Saccharomyces cerevisiae S288C: one gene and its partners. The protein of the gene in region 3 binds, or shares a complex with, the protein of the main gene of each other region. Each region holds a gene or a part of one and is shown on either strand. Other genes may lie near its edges. The genes, in order: UFD4, MOT2 and UBC4. A codon is read from its position in the direction of its gene.

Region 1 (6,825 bases), on a different chromosome or scaffold from region 3:
CAATTGTAAACATATCTGGTATCGGCATAGATTCAAATAAATACTCCGTAAGGTTAAATACAAGCTCAGAAGTTTCAGCAGGATTCAAGCTTAACTTTTTGAGGTTTTGAAAAAATTTCTCCTCTAGATTTATCTTTTGCCAGTCTAGTACTTTAGGGAGCGGATCATTATTGAGCAATTGCATCTTAGAGAAAGCAAAGTTAGAAACACCAGCATCCATAGACAATATGTTAATTCTTCCCTCTCTTATCTTTTGTTGTCGTAACTTCTCCAAAAATTCACACTGTTCTTGAATGTAGGTTCTTTTAGCTTCTTTCGTCGTGCCATTTACTGCTCCAATAACAAATGATAAAGATTTCAGTTGTGTGCTTTTTGCATTTTGGCAGCAGGAATCGATGAGTTGCAATATCTTAGCTTTCTGTGCTGTCGACATATTACTATCTTTTTTAGCTTTAGACTGTATAACCGTAAGCCTTCGTTGTATGCAATGGATAAACAAATATGGAATCGCCAGTTGAAACAAAAAAATGAGAAAAGTACGGATAATCCGAAGAAATTTAGTCTGATTCCATCCATTTTTTGTATCTTAAGAAATAATTTTGAAGTCATATAAAACTTAAATAGAAAAAGTAACTAAAATTTAGGAAAGTAGAAAAGCTCCTGCACCCTCTTCAATGGCTTGACAAAGACGAGACCGCATAATATCTTTGCTAGTATACTTCGGCAATTTCAAATAATTAGCACATGTCATTACACTTGGTAGATATTCGTCTGCTGTTAGGCCATCTTCAGCATGCTTTAACACAACTGTAAACTTTGGGTTCAAACTTTTAAATCCCCCAATTGGAAGCTTGGGAGATCCCGTTAAAAATTGCAAAAATAATCTTCTTTCATGCTTACCAAACGCGGATATTATTGATATAAAATCATGAATGATTGAAGAATCCATTGTATAGCCATGTTCAGCGTTCAAGTTTGTGTATAAAGTTGCCATAGACCAGTCTTCCTCAACTCGTCCGAAAATATCCACTAATTCATCCGGAAAAAGTATTAGCATCCTCTCATAGGAAAACACCTTTGAAAAACCTTCAATAAATGCTTTTAACTGTTTTTCAATGCCCTTACCTAATATTTGGTCGATAACGCCATGGATATATTCTTCAACATTAGAAGAGTTCAAGGATTTATTACAACCCCCCGGAATCAACTCAATGTCATCATTTCCAGGAACGGTAAATGTCAAGGACAACGATTCTAGGGTCATATTGTCATCCTTATTCGCTACTATGTATTTAAGGGATTTTGCGAGTAACGGATCTACCAATTCGATCATTAACAGACAGGTTTCAACGTCGCTCGGCACTGTCGTCACATTGGGCGTAGACATTCTGTGCAATAACTCAAAAAAGACTTTGCTAAATCTAAAGTCAAGAATTCTATTATCAAGCAACGATCTGGCAACAAATGTCCCCAAATATCCAAAAAGTTCAATAACTTTTTCATTATTGGAAAACGGGTTGAGGGGCTCTGGGAACAATAAAGTGGTAATATAATCGTCAGTAGTATCAACATCCATTTCGCTTCTGTAACTATAAGAGTTACAACGCCACATATTTAACGACTTTCTTGCAAAATACTTGGAAACTACGGAGTAAAATTCCAAAGTCGGTCCTAAACCTGTTCCTGCTTCTTCTTGATATTCAATTTCCAGTACGTCAGGGCTACTTCCGTACTTGGATAAAATCTTGAGACCGGTAGCGAATATTGTTTTTCTTGAAATCCGCAGCTTACGCCTAGTAATTCTCCCAAGTTGTTGTAAAGCTTCGTCATTCCTTAAATCTTTCGAGCCTTTACTCTTATTCTTCCAAAGTTGAATCAATCTTCCGTAACCAAATGAAGTACATTGTAGGAAAAGCATCCTGGTATCAAACGGAAACAAAAATGGGAATCTCCTGGTCAAAAATAGTGACCAATCCGGCAAAGCTCCACTTGCTACTACCAATGGTTCATCTAGTTGTCTAGCGAGCTTAGCGCTTAGTTTTGAGTTGATAAAACTGTCGCTTTTAACACCGCAGCTATGTAGAAAATCCAGCAATGTCAGAATATCCGCTGAAGATCCAGTATCAACCTGTGCGAATTCTCTTTTTTTATAAAAATCTCTTAACTTTTTCCCCTCATTAGCTTCCTCGGCTGCCTCACTCTCTCTATTGTTACCTTCTAAACTTTTGCAAAATTTGATTGTATGTGTATCATCCCATAAAGTTTTTAAGTCACGATTTCGCCTGACGAATGTATTAAATATCACACCAAATACTGTAGACTCCATGTCAACTTTTTCATTATCATAAAAAAAGTCAAAGTTCTTTTTTCTCATATGATCCAAGCAATTTTCTTCTTCTTCCCTATCAGCTTCGGTACTGGAAGATGTAAGGTTTGGGATTAATGAATTCAAAAAACGCATTCTTACCATTCTGTGTCTCAAAAACTCATTAAGTGAGGTAAAAGAAGCTATGCAATGGACCGAAACGATAGTAGATGATAAATCAGTACCAATATTATCTTTGCTTGCATCGCCATCATAAACCAACTTAATTTTTATCTCTTTAGCCAGTGAAGATACACCACCACCATCGTGTAAACCGCAATCAACTATAGAGAAATTCTCCAGCCTTGTGAGAGCAGATTGTAGGATTTCTAAAAATCTGTCAATACAATCCTCAAATACCTCTAAAAATGATTTAGCAAGAATGAAATGGGATACCGTTGAGGATGTAATTCTTTTAGTTATGGAGGAAGCTAGCCCTGTAGAAGTAAATTCGAAACCTGACACGTCGAAATCTTCATGGAAAATACATTTTTTTAAAACAGACCAAATTCCCTTCCAATCCTCTTCAGTTTTGTCCGGAGTGGAAGGATTTTCTAAAATAGAAACAACGCCTTCGATTTGATGGAGCTCCTCTGTTATTGCTTCTTGCTCAACGTTCATCTGAGAAAGTACTCTATTAACTAGGTTCACACCCTTGTTTTTAATATAAGCTAGAGATAGAGTTCTGAAAATGTGTATTGAAATTTTCTTTGGTTTTACTGAATCAGGAATTTCCATATCAGTAAATTCGTAATCATATTCTTCATCACCCTCATCACATTCCTCAATACTGCTATGCAAATCCCCTTCTTCGTCAGAAAGTGAAATATTTTCATTCCCGTCTTCCTTTAAATCAATGTTATTGAAATCCACAGACAAATCCTTAACCAAATCAAAAATGCCCTCTCTTTTGATGGAAGGAAAGAACAGTTCGGAAAACTTTTTACAAATTAAGTCAAGCAACGAGAGACCACCAACCAACAGTGTACCAGCTTCTGATGAGTAAGTACCATTAGCGTTAGACGCTGTTTCTTTTTGGGCCAGGATAGATCCGATTAACTTAATAAGTTGATCATTGATTGCCTTTGCTGTGGAATTATTTATGCATGATACAACCCTCAGTAAAGCAATAAGTACGTATCTTCTTACGTCAAAGTCAGCAGCATTTGTATAAATTTCAACGAGAATTGGAATTAGACATTGAACTAGGGAATCAAACTTTTCCTGGTTAGAAATTACGCCACGGTCGCTATTTCCGGTATATTTATCCGCTGACAGTATTCTTTCATCCTCGGGAGGAAACAATACAACTATAAATCTAGAAATGCTAATCAATAAACTGTTTGGGACATAAATCAGTGTTTCATGTAACCCTGCGTTAGGACTTTTACTATAATGCTGGAATGATCGTGTTGCCATGTCGACAATGTCAGTTTTCTCTCTCAGTTCTCTTGAAAGTACATCACTACTCATCGCTAATACGGTTAAAATATCCAAACATTTCAGTTTATTCTCCAAGGGGGTATCCTGAATAGAAACTAGCTGAACTATTCTTTCGATTAAATCCAACGAAAACAAAGTCTCAAATTTGTCAACCCCATGCAACGCCCCGCAAATACCGTACATGGCATTTACAAGCCTGGTTAATATTGGTTGGTCTGTCGCATTCGAGAAAATTGGCTTCAGCGTTGGAAGTACTTCAACAATGGTCTTAAAGTCATCCGTTCGGATACTGCTACAGGCGTTCGAAACAATTGCGATAGCCTTCCTCTGCGCATGTATAGTTAAAAAATCGAAGAATTGGACGTAGATTGATAATTGGCCCGTTTTTAAAATGTCTCTCCCATGTACTCTAGAAATATATTCCACCGTTTCTAAAACTTGTTCTGCGAGGTCAATGTAACTGATCTCTACCAATTTTCCTTGTAAAATTGGTATAACGTGTTCATCAACAGCTATTGAAATAGATTCAGGGCAGACCTCAAAAAGATTATACATGCATCTACAAGCTTGCATTTGTAATTCTAATTCTTCCCGTAAAATTTTATCAGAGAGTATGGCAGCTATATTACCTATTAAGGTTTCCATCGGTATAATTCTATCGACAACCATTTGATTCATCATTAATATGTTTTCAGAAAGTTCTTTTAAACTCTCCATTGCAATATAAGGATCCTCGGAGGCATTCCCAGTATTCTCTATCAATTTAGAAATCCGCTCATTCCTTGCCGAACTCTCTGCGCTCCTCTCCATCCTTCCTCCAATCATCGATAAAATCTCGGGTAGTGTTCTTCCAACCGGGTGTTGCCCAAGTCCTTCACTTGTTTGTCTTCTTTGTTCTAGTCTTTGTGCGAATGTTTCCAAAATGTCAGGTAAATGTAGGGGGTTGCTGCCAAATTCATTATTATCGTGAGAACGTTCAAGTCCATCTTCTTCTTCATTTCTGTCTTCGTCACTGCCATTCTGAGTTCTATGATATCCATATAAAAGTCCAGAATCATCTTCATGATGGTAATCGTTATCGTCATCTTCACCATCATCTGCCTCAAAACTTCCGACGCTAGAAAGCATATGTTCATCTTCATCTTCATCAGGATAATAAGAGTACTCACCCTGTACATGGCCATCCTCATCATAGTCATCTTCTACCTGCGTATCCATCATATAATCACTGTTTTCGCTATGGGACTCATGTTCATCAAGGTTGTGCGAATTATTTTCAGACATGCTTGGCTACTCTTCTATTTTAAATGTTTATCCAAAATTTTCACACCTGAGATATATTGTTGTTAATAAAGCACACAGAAAGGAAAGTATCGATCCCAGAAAGTGGTCTTTCCCTGGGTATGATCAAAGCTATTCCCCTTTCCAACTACTGTTGGCTATGATCCCACAATTTGATTTCAGTTCAGAAAACCCAACCATTAGGACTTTACCCGGCGAAGGTGAAAGAAAAAATTTTTTTCCAGAAAAATGCGATGAGCTTTTGAAAAGTTGCAAATATTTGTAGTACTTTGGCTAAGCAGAGCTGATTCCTTTTGCTATACGTACATCACTGTCTATCGTCCATAAAAGATTTATTATAGTTGAATCATGCCAAGATCAAAACGTTCCAAGCTAGTCACTTTAGCACAAACCGATAAAAAGGGCAGAGAAAATAAAGAAAGAATTTTCGATGAAGTGAGGGAAGCCTTAGATACTTATAGATACGTCTGGGTCCTACATCTTGACGACGTAAGAACTCCAGTTTTACAAGAAATCAGAACATCTTGGGCAGGCTCTAAGTTAATTATGGGTAAGAGGAAAGTTTTACAAAAAGCATTGGGAGAAAAGAGGGAAGAAGAATACAAAGAAAATCTGTATCAATTGAGTAAGCTTTGTAGCGGTGTCACTGGTTTATTGTTCACTGATGAGGATGTCAACACTGTCAAGGAATACTTTAAGTCATACGTTCGTTCAGACTATTCAAGACCGAACACGAAAGCACCACTAACATTTACAATTCCTGAGGGCATTGTCTACTCACGTGGTGGTCAAATTCCAGCTGAGGAAGATGTTCCAATGATTCATTCTTTAGAGCCAACTATGAGAAACAAATTTGAAATTCCAACTAAAATCAAAGCTGGTAAGATCACCATTGACAGTCCATATTTAGTTTGCACTGAAGGAGAAAAATTAGATGTTCGTCAAGCTTTAATACTGAAACAATTCGGTATCGCTGCTTCTGAATTCAAAGTCAAGGTGTCGGCCTACTATGACAACGATAGCTCCACTGTTGAAAGCACTAACATCAACATGGAATAAGCTGAACTATTATTTGGAAGCCTTTTTTAATAGACCATTGTATAAAAATTTCTTTTTTTTGTATAGATATACTAAAGCAACGCTCATAAATGTAACATAGCTTCTTTTCAACTGAGAATTTATATTCATGCTAACTAAGCGTAAATCACTTTTGATCTTCACAGCTCTTTAGCGGCACGAAAGCAAGAAAAAAAGATAACACTGTATGTCTGGAAAAGAATACTATAAAAATACCTGTTTACATAAACCAATAAGGAAGAACGTGAGAGCAGGACCGTAAAAGAATTAATGTGTAAAGAATTAATGTGTAATGGTTATACTACTTAAAAACACCGTTTTCCTTCAAATATCCTTTTTCGTTGGAGTACTGTCAGTTGGAGTAGTGGAACTTTCATCACTTTCTTCGTCTGATTCACTATCACTTCTGTCATCCTTGAGAATACCTCTCCATAGAATCCTGTAAAGAACTCTAAAAATAAGGAACAGCCAATAAAGATTCACTAATTGCAAAGCGCCTATCAATACAAAGACAATTGGTAAGGAAATCCAACATTTATATTGCTGAGTGGCAAAATTCAAGACATAGTTACCTTCCGTGCGAAATTGCGTTAAAACGGACCATAGGATCTTTAAATTTATGTAATGACGCAAATAAA
Region 2 (4,399 bases), on a different chromosome or scaffold from region 3:
AATGATGCAGACTTATTTCTCACTTCAGATCTCTCTTTCTTTTGCCTTTAGTGGTATATGTGTTAAGTATATTACGGGTCTGAAAAATAATATCCAAAAATGTTCCTAATGGAAATGGATAGCGAACAACAACACGCGCGCAAGCTCTTTATATGAAAAAAAAAAATAGAAGAGTCATCAATTACCACCATTCGGCCACAGTTTTTTGATGTAGACTGAGTCATTCGGATAAGAATTCCAACCAACTGCGCAAGAGATTTCGTTGAAAAAATGTGATTTAAGTGAAAAAATTAGCGAAGCAGGTTCCGTGCATTATGATATATATCATGATGATTATTTTCTATGAATTAGTCATTCTTGCAGCGCTGACGCTTTCATACGTTGTAACGAGTAAATAGACTATACTGGTATATGCTATGGCATTATTCATTAGCCAGATACCTTTCCCAGATACCTTTCCACGTCAAAGGTTTAAAAAAATGGGTGAGATTTTTTTTTCTTGCATTTCGTTATAAACGGAGAGATTATATATTCATGAGAAATAAAAATAGATAAAATTATGGTTAATGCAAACAAGAAAAATATTTAGAGTCGGATTAATTACCGGCGATAATTTTCCTTCCGTTGATTAGTTGATTTAGTAAATCAGAGGAATTTCTTGAGCTTGTATCACCCATTTGTTGCTGCTGAATAGGAACCTTATGTTGTGGACCAAAGATACCCGGTGGAGGGGTACTGACGTTTAATGGTGGTTGGATTTGCTGTGAGACGGTTTGCAGTCTTATTGGTTGGGTGGGAGTTTTCGTATTATCTGTGATTGTAATATTGTCATTTACACCAACATTGACACTCTGCAAGAATTGAACGACAGAAGCAGTGTAGTCTATTGGCTTTATAGCCAGGATCTCCACAAGTTTGTTGGCTAATGTATTGTCACTTTTCTTTGAGGCCTCAATCTTGTCCCAAGAAAACAAAGACGGATACTTTTTATAAGTTTCTTCGTCAATAATATTGGATTTGATAGATATAGGGCGCTTCTGATAATTTGATAGAGAATGTAGTCTTGCATCCAAAAAGTCAACAGCATTCCCTAGTGCGTCATAAGGATCTTTGTATTCCTCTGCAGCAAGAGATTGCTTCTTCTTGCTACCATGGGAGTGACTTGTAGCATTGGTATTGGTAGTAGTTGTCGTACTTGTGATGGTATTCTCTGTTGTGGGGGTAGTATGATGGCCCAGAGAATCATTTAATGTTGGCAAGTTTATGGAGCTGCTGTTTTTAGAGAGATTGATAGAGGTTACAGGTGTTGCTGATTGAGTAACTCCCCAAGGATTTGACCCTGCAGGGACCGGAGCAGGTGTTAATACCGGTGTTCCAGCGTTTGTATGGCTGTCATGATGTAACTGAGCCCTCATCGCCGCCGGTGAAGGTGTGCCTGTGAAATTTTCACTTAGTAAATTGGTATTTGAACCAGCGGTACTGGTAGATATATTGTTGTGTATTCCAGATCTAGTGAATGCAGTTCCGCCACTTTGCTGTTGCGCTTGTTGTTTATTGTGGAGTTCTCTTTTATTAAAAGAATCAGCTTCTTCACCAGGTTCATGCAAAAACATACAGTTGGGATTTGGGCATGGCAATCCTCTTAAATAAGAAGAACAGTATTTAGTAGTACCGTAGGCAGCTTTGATCAGGCGGCCATCCATATACGTCCCGTCTACCTGAGCTATACATCTTGCAGCATCGTCCTTGGATCCGAAGGTTATGTAAACGCCATATCCTGGTGAATGATGGTGATAATGCTCGCTGGTTGTGTTGTTAGAATGGGGTGTTTTTCTATTAACCACAATCTTATTTATCTTACCATATTGGCCAAAATATTTTTCAGATTTCAGAGTGGGCGCAACTTCCTCGTATGGAACAGGAGGATTGATGCCAACAACGTACACTAAATTCTTTTGGATAACTCTGGTACCAGATAAATGTTTCCTATTCGTATATTCATTCTCTTTACGTTCTTTTTCTCTATGCTTTCTTTCTTTCTCCTTCCTAGCGAGCTTGGCTCTCTCCATTTTTAACTCCTCCGGAGATAATGTGACGTATCTGACGTTCTCGTCATCATATTTACGACGACATGCTGGGCAACGGCCATTTAATTCTGGATTTTGTCTGATATTATTGTAGCAAAATTGACAAATTTGATAACCACAGGGACAAGGAAAAAAATTTTTATCAGTAATATCCATTGGTTCAATACAAAGAGGGCAATAATCTTCTTCATCCTCCGATAAAAATGACGTATCAAAATTGCTTAAGGCGTTGTGGATTGCTTGCAAATTTTCTTGAACGTGTGGATTCATCATTATGACTGGATTATATACGATACTTTTATTTGGTCTTTTGTACTTTTTATTAAGTTTTGGGATTGTTGCAGAGTAACAAAAGCAGTAATCTATACTATTCGAACCACTACTGAAAACCCTAGGAGGGCTTTTACTGTATGTAGTACACGTCTTGATATGCTTTTCGGAAATTTTGAAAAGAGAAAGCAAAAAAAAAAATCATATTCACACTTACAATGTTACCCGGGAAGAGACGGCAATCAAGTGGAAGTTCGGGTAATAGCATTCATTTTAGAAGCGTCGATATAATCATCGACCAGGTAGTAGTTTAACAATACATTATCAGGTTTCGCGGCGTAACAGTGATACTACTTTATAGCGTTTCACGTCTTCGGGCTCAACATTTCAATAAAAAAAATTCAAAAAGTTGCTAATCGTAAATCATTAAAGGTACATAAAACTACTTATGAATTTGGGAGGTTAGGATTCAGTACTAACACATTCTCTATGACACAACCTTTAATTTGCGCCTACAGGATGTGTTTTGTAATCGACAAATACCATAGCATCTTCATGTGTGCAAACTACTTGAACGTCTATCTTGAAAGGTCTACCATGGTATTCAGTTTCCTCACCGTAATGCCAGGTGATTTTATCAAATGTCTCTTCCTTCGATTTTTCGTGAAATTTAAGCTCAGGTTTCCTAACGGCTTGCTTAATATCTTTCAAAAGATGCTTTTCAATATGCTGGTGCAGGTGACGCACGAACTTCTTAGAATGAGAATTTGCAGCATCACTAATTTTTTCAGGGTCCTCGTGCGACTCGTGTAGCACAAATGGTGGGTAGTAATTTAATTTACAGTGCAAATGATCGAAATCATCATCTTCAGTTTCATTGGCAATGAAAGTTTCAAAACCCTGCAGGTCTTCAAAAACTTTCACGGTTTCACCATCCTCCGTGGTAACCGTTTGAACTTTTACTTCCTTCTTATCCTTCTTTGTCATTTAAAGTGGAGACGAAAACAGTCGATACCTAATTTATATGTTCTATGGGCAATTATTAGAATACAATGCAGAACTTGTCCCTTTATGAAATGTTTTGACCAAAGAAATTTGAACGTGGAAGAACAAAAGATTCAAATATACGCTAGAAATCTTTTGCCTTATATATGTGCACACAATCAAGTAAAGACACTTGTATTTTTCCACCCAGCAATACCCCTTAAGAACGCTGCCCCTTTCATTCTATATTTAATTAACCATACAGTAACTTATAATACCCCTGATTACAGGATGCATTTGTTATGGAAGTCAATTGCCGAGAGCCGTCCACATTATGCTGGTTGCCTCGAGGATATTATTTTTTAGCACATCCGCAATCTCGCCACACCGCATTTCCGTTCCTTCGGCCCCTGAATCTGGGGTAAAAAAAAAAAAAGCAGTCATCTGGAGATTGTATCACCCAAAAAGAAATACGTTTCTGGCTCGTAACAGGTATGACAACACGTTGTCAGAATACCAAAGTTTAGTCTGAACATTTGACTGCGTGTATATCGGAAACGCTGGATTTTTGGTGCCACCTTCTTCGTTCATGGCATATGTGTAAGTCACGTAGGATTAATGTCATCAATTTCATGAGTTGAGTGAAAGTGCAACTTTACAATGTAGTCAACATACTGCACCGTCATCATTACATATTTCAGATTAAGGGTGATAATGCCGCTTTCATAATTCCTATTGAAACCTTGTATTGGCATATGATACTTCAGGAAGATGTGTTCGGCAATCGTTGCTTTTACTTCGGTACTCTTGACAGATTATGTCATTTATTCGCACCAGTAAGGATGTAGCTCTTGTCTTCTGTAGCCGAATTATCGAAGTTAATGAATAATATTACACACAGCTACAGTTTCAGGAAAAATATGAGACGAGTCGCAAATAAGCGGCCATTGTATACATTATGACAAAGTGAGTGTGATAATTACTGCATGGCCCAATGCATGAAAATATGGGTCAACTTGTACCACATTTGCTACAAATGGACGATAACTGAACTGGGC
Region 3 (2,928 bases):
TTGATTACATATACTAGCTATGCGTTGAACTTCAAAAATTTAAATAGGCTTCACCCCAGAAATGATGTTAATGACAATAGTAATTAACCTACAGATAGACTAGAAATGAAAAAGGTACGGTTAACGTTGACGCTCCCTCGACAAGTTAGGTCAAATATGAACCACAACTGAAATATATGCGGGATATACCCGCGCTTGCGTGCATGTAACTAAGCAAAAATTCTCCATACTGTTCGAGGAAAAAAATGTTCATGAATCTCCCCTGAATAAATTAAATTAAGGTTTACGATTCGAGTTGTTTGGAAAAAAAAAAAAAGGTTCCCCTGTACTGTTGCCAACAATAGTCTTATATCTTATATCAGTAAATCTATGTTATTAGAGATAGAATATACATATATTTTATTGTATTCTTTCTTAAATACATTGTATCTAATATTCTTTTCATCGTCCAATCCCATATAAATCTTGCTTCTCTTTTTCAGCTGAGTAAGGACTTCTGTTTATACAGCGTATTTCTTTGTCCATTCTCTGGCTGTAGCTTCGTACTTGGGTCTGTCAGTCTTGTAGATATGAGCGATTTCTGGTACTAAAGGATCGTCAGGATTAGCGTCTGTTAACAAAGAACAGATGGATAATAGGACCTTCGATAGAGTTAGAGCTGGAGACCATTGATCCTTTAGGATGTCCAGACAGATGTTACCATTGGCATTGATATTTGGATGATATATCTTGGTTGTGAAGGAGATCTTTGGTGGCTTGAATGGGTAGTCGGTTGGGAAATGGATAGACAAGAAGAAAACACCGCCGGCATATGGGGAATCGGCAGGTCCCATGATGGATGCTTGCCAGTGATATAGATCATCGCCGACTGGACCGGCTGAACATGAAGTAGGTGGATCTCTAGTTCAATAGCATGTTGATTTTGTTAGTAAATAAGAGCATAAGTTTTAAAAAAAAAGCACGCATTTGAAACGTGGCCATAACTTTAGACATACCTTTCTAGATCACTTAGTTCTTTAGCAATACGTTTAGAAGAAGACATGTTTTTTTGGATGCTTGTTTATGTATGTACTCTATAGTCAGTGAAATTTATTTACTTGTGGCGATAGTGATTTTCCTGGCTTCTTTACTTTATTTTTTTTCAGGATAGATTTATTCTCTGGATTATTTATTAAGATGAAAAATAAGAATAAAGAAAAAGAAAGAAGGATGAAGAAAAAAGAAAAATACAGGCCAAGGCCTTTCAAGGTGAGCTGTTGCCAGGTTTTTCCGCAGCGGGAAAAATCTCGCAGACCATGTGACCGCCGGTACTCCTTTTCCTGTTGCTCGGCCATTTGATCCTCGCTTCGAGAAAAACTATAACAATTGATTAGTGCGGAGAGGAGGATAGGCGGTAAGATCAGTTTTGTTTATTGTATAAATGAGATACTTTGGAATAAGGACATTAGCCTTATGTTACATCATTTCTTATCACGTAAGACTACTTATTGTCAAACTTTTTATGAAGTCATAAGGTGGACATATGAATAGTGCAGTTACCCTTGTTCAGGAATGACACCTTGTGCATTCCAGTGAGAAAGGAATGTTGACTAAAACAGTAGCTGTGCTTTTTTTTTTCTTTTTTGCCTTTTTATTCTTAATGTTCAAGAAAACTTTCTTTCCATGGAATGTATGAGGACCCTTTATTTTGAGGAATGGGTTCGAATTTATCATGCAAATTGGCAAGAATTTACTAAGTGGACTATATTTAAAGAGTTGAATTTTACGGTGAAAGTAAATTAACGCTACTTCTGTTGTTTTGGAAAAGCCAAGTTCAAGTTTCTTTTCTTGATTATTTATTCTCGTAACGATTTCGCTTTTCCTCTCTATATATTTTCCTACTCCATTCTGTAAAGAGCTTCCAGAACAAAATATAAATAAATAAAAAAAACTTCTCTTCAGGCAAGAGTACGTTCTTCGCTGGTTTCCTACAGAATCAAAAGAGTACTGCAGCTTATTGTACACACTTACAATATTCAAAACATGTGTGGCCTACTCGGTTCCTGGCAAGGTTAAGCCAAGTGGTGTAGTTACCAGAAAAAAGTGAACACATACAAGATACGATGCGTAAGTACATAAGGTATGACAGCCTGTAACAAATCCACGTTAGATTTATATCTTCTAGGCTGAGAATCTGGCAGGTTTTAGCAAAACATATATAACTTGCTCTCATTAAGCGGGCTCACTGCTTAAGCGATTGTTACCTGGAACTACAGGCAAGTACAATAGCCTCCTCCAGCTTTTGACTCTGAAAAAAAGGTAACGAAAGAAACTTTTCACACAGATAGGAACTATTCTAATATTACAGTAAAGCCAGCTATGGAATAACAGGTGGCATGTGCCCACTGTATTCATGTATGAGCGGCCTTTTTTTTCCACGAAAACAGATATGATGATGTTTTAGGCCAAAATGGTGAGATCCTTTTACAGGAAGATTTTACGCCAACTCTTTCCATTTAGTGACACAGGTGAGGGTCTTTTATCGGCGCAAGGTGTTTCAGATGAGCCATTTTGCCCGTAGTCCGGTTTAATCAGCCTCATTGGAATTCCCCGGCACCGCTCGCATTCCGCGTACGACTCAAAGAATTTCCCATTGAATTCGGGAATGTGCGTGTTTCAGATTGCGTTTGCTTATTATTCTGGGAAACTCTCCGGAAACAAGCTGAGCTGGACTCCACGAATGGTCCCTCACAAGGCTCTTGGCTCATGCACAGTTAAAAAGCACCTGTAGCTACCATCAGCAATCCATGGTGCTGGAGTTTCTCTCGATGGTACGGCCCATAGCTGGAGAAAATAGCTTATTACCAAAAAAGTAATTCCCCCGCAGAGGTATATATTAAGTTTGAAACAAAAGGCTTGCTTAATTTTTTACATATGACAACCCTTTTC

The links.
Region 1: the proteins of UBC4 (region 3) and UFD4 are in contact, whole or in part, in a cryo-EM structure (PDB 8J1R), measured with the Saccharomyces cerevisiae proteins. Residues at the interface, in NP_009638.1 of Saccharomyces cerevisiae: Met1 (codon at 1,042), Ser2 (codon at 1,039), Ser3 (codon at 1,036), Ser4 (codon at 1,033), Arg6 (codon at 1,027), His56 (codon at 782), Pro58 (codon at 776), Thr59 (codon at 773), Asp60 (codon at 770), Pro62 (codon at 764), Phe63 (codon at 761), Lys64 (codon at 758), Pro65 (codon at 755), Lys67 (codon at 749), Cys86 (codon at 692), Lys91 (codon at 677), Asp92 (codon at 674), Ser95 (codon at 665), Pro96 (codon at 662), Ala97 (codon at 659), Asp118 (codon at 596), Leu120 (codon at 590), Val121 (codon at 587), Pro122 (codon at 584), Glu123 (codon at 581), His126 (codon at 572); in NP_012915.3 of Saccharomyces cerevisiae: Ser1166 (codon at 1,597), Tyr1167 (codon at 1,594), Leu1261 (codon at 1,312), Leu1262 (codon at 1,309), Lys1264 (codon at 1,303), Ser1265 (codon at 1,300), Leu1266 (codon at 1,297), Tyr1268 (codon at 1,291), Ile1269 (codon at 1,288), Ser1281 (codon at 1,252), Leu1282 (codon at 1,249), Ser1283 (codon at 1,246), Leu1284 (codon at 1,243), Thr1285 (codon at 1,240), Thr1287 (codon at 1,234), Pro1289 (codon at 1,228), Gly1290 (codon at 1,225), Asp1292 (codon at 1,219), Tyr1313 (codon at 1,156), His1378 (codon at 961), Val1430 (codon at 805), Glu1435 (codon at 790), Met1448 (codon at 751), Cys1450 (codon at 745), Tyr1453 (codon at 736).
Region 2: the proteins of UBC4 (region 3) and MOT2 are in contact, whole or in part, in a crystal structure (PDB 5AIE), measured with the Saccharomyces cerevisiae proteins. Residues at the interface, in NP_009638.1 of Saccharomyces cerevisiae: Ser2 (codon at 1,039), Lys5 (codon at 1,030), Arg6 (codon at 1,027), Lys9 (codon at 1,018), Pro62 (codon at 764), Phe63 (codon at 761), Lys64 (codon at 758), Asp92 (codon at 674), Gln93 (codon at 671), Trp94 (codon at 668), Ser95 (codon at 665), Pro96 (codon at 662), Ala97 (codon at 659); in NP_010991.3 of Saccharomyces cerevisiae: Pro34 (codon at 2,261), Leu35 (codon at 2,258), Cys36 (codon at 2,255), Ile37 (codon at 2,252), Glu38 (codon at 2,249), Tyr54 (codon at 2,201), Cys60 (codon at 2,183), Asn63 (codon at 2,174), Glu69 (codon at 2,156), Leu70 (codon at 2,153), Asn71 (codon at 2,150), Pro75 (codon at 2,138), Ala76 (codon at 2,135), Arg78 (codon at 2,129).

Annotation. Positions count from the first base shown.
Region 1 is NC_001143.9:420,784-427,608, forward strand, and holds UFD4 (putative ubiquitin-protein ligase UFD4), read right to left. Parts: upstream 5,093-6,825; coding exon 641-5,092; downstream 1-640. Other genes in the region: CCE1 (cruciform cutting endonuclease), read right to left, coding at 1-433; ribosome assembly factor MRT4, read left to right, coding at 5,459-6,169; sphingosine N-acyltransferase LAC1, read right to left, coding at 6,512-6,825. UniProt on the Saccharomyces cerevisiae protein: E3 ubiquitin-protein ligase which accepts ubiquitin from an E2 ubiquitin-conjugating enzyme in the form of a thioester and then directly transfers the ubiquitin to targeted substrates.
Region 2 is NC_001137.3:291,011-295,409, reverse strand, and holds MOT2 (CCR4-NOT core ubiquitin-protein ligase subunit MOT2), read right to left. Parts: upstream 2,361-4,399; coding exon 597-2,360; downstream 1-596. Other genes in the region: RGI1 (Rgi1p), read right to left, coding at 2,859-3,344. UniProt on the Saccharomyces cerevisiae protein: E3 ubiquitin-protein ligase component of the CCR4-NOT core complex, which in the nucleus seems to be a general transcription factor, and in the cytoplasm the major mRNA deadenylase involved in mRNA turnover.
Region 3 is NC_001134.8:406,128-409,055, forward strand, and holds UBC4 (E2 ubiquitin-conjugating protein UBC4), read right to left. Parts: upstream 1,043-2,928; coding exon 996-1,042; intron 901-995; coding exon 501-900; downstream 1-500. UniProt on the Saccharomyces cerevisiae protein: E2 ubiquitin-conjugating enzyme that catalyzes the covalent attachment of ubiquitin to other proteins. Mediates the selective degradation of short-lived and abnormal proteins. Mediates ubiquitination of PEX5.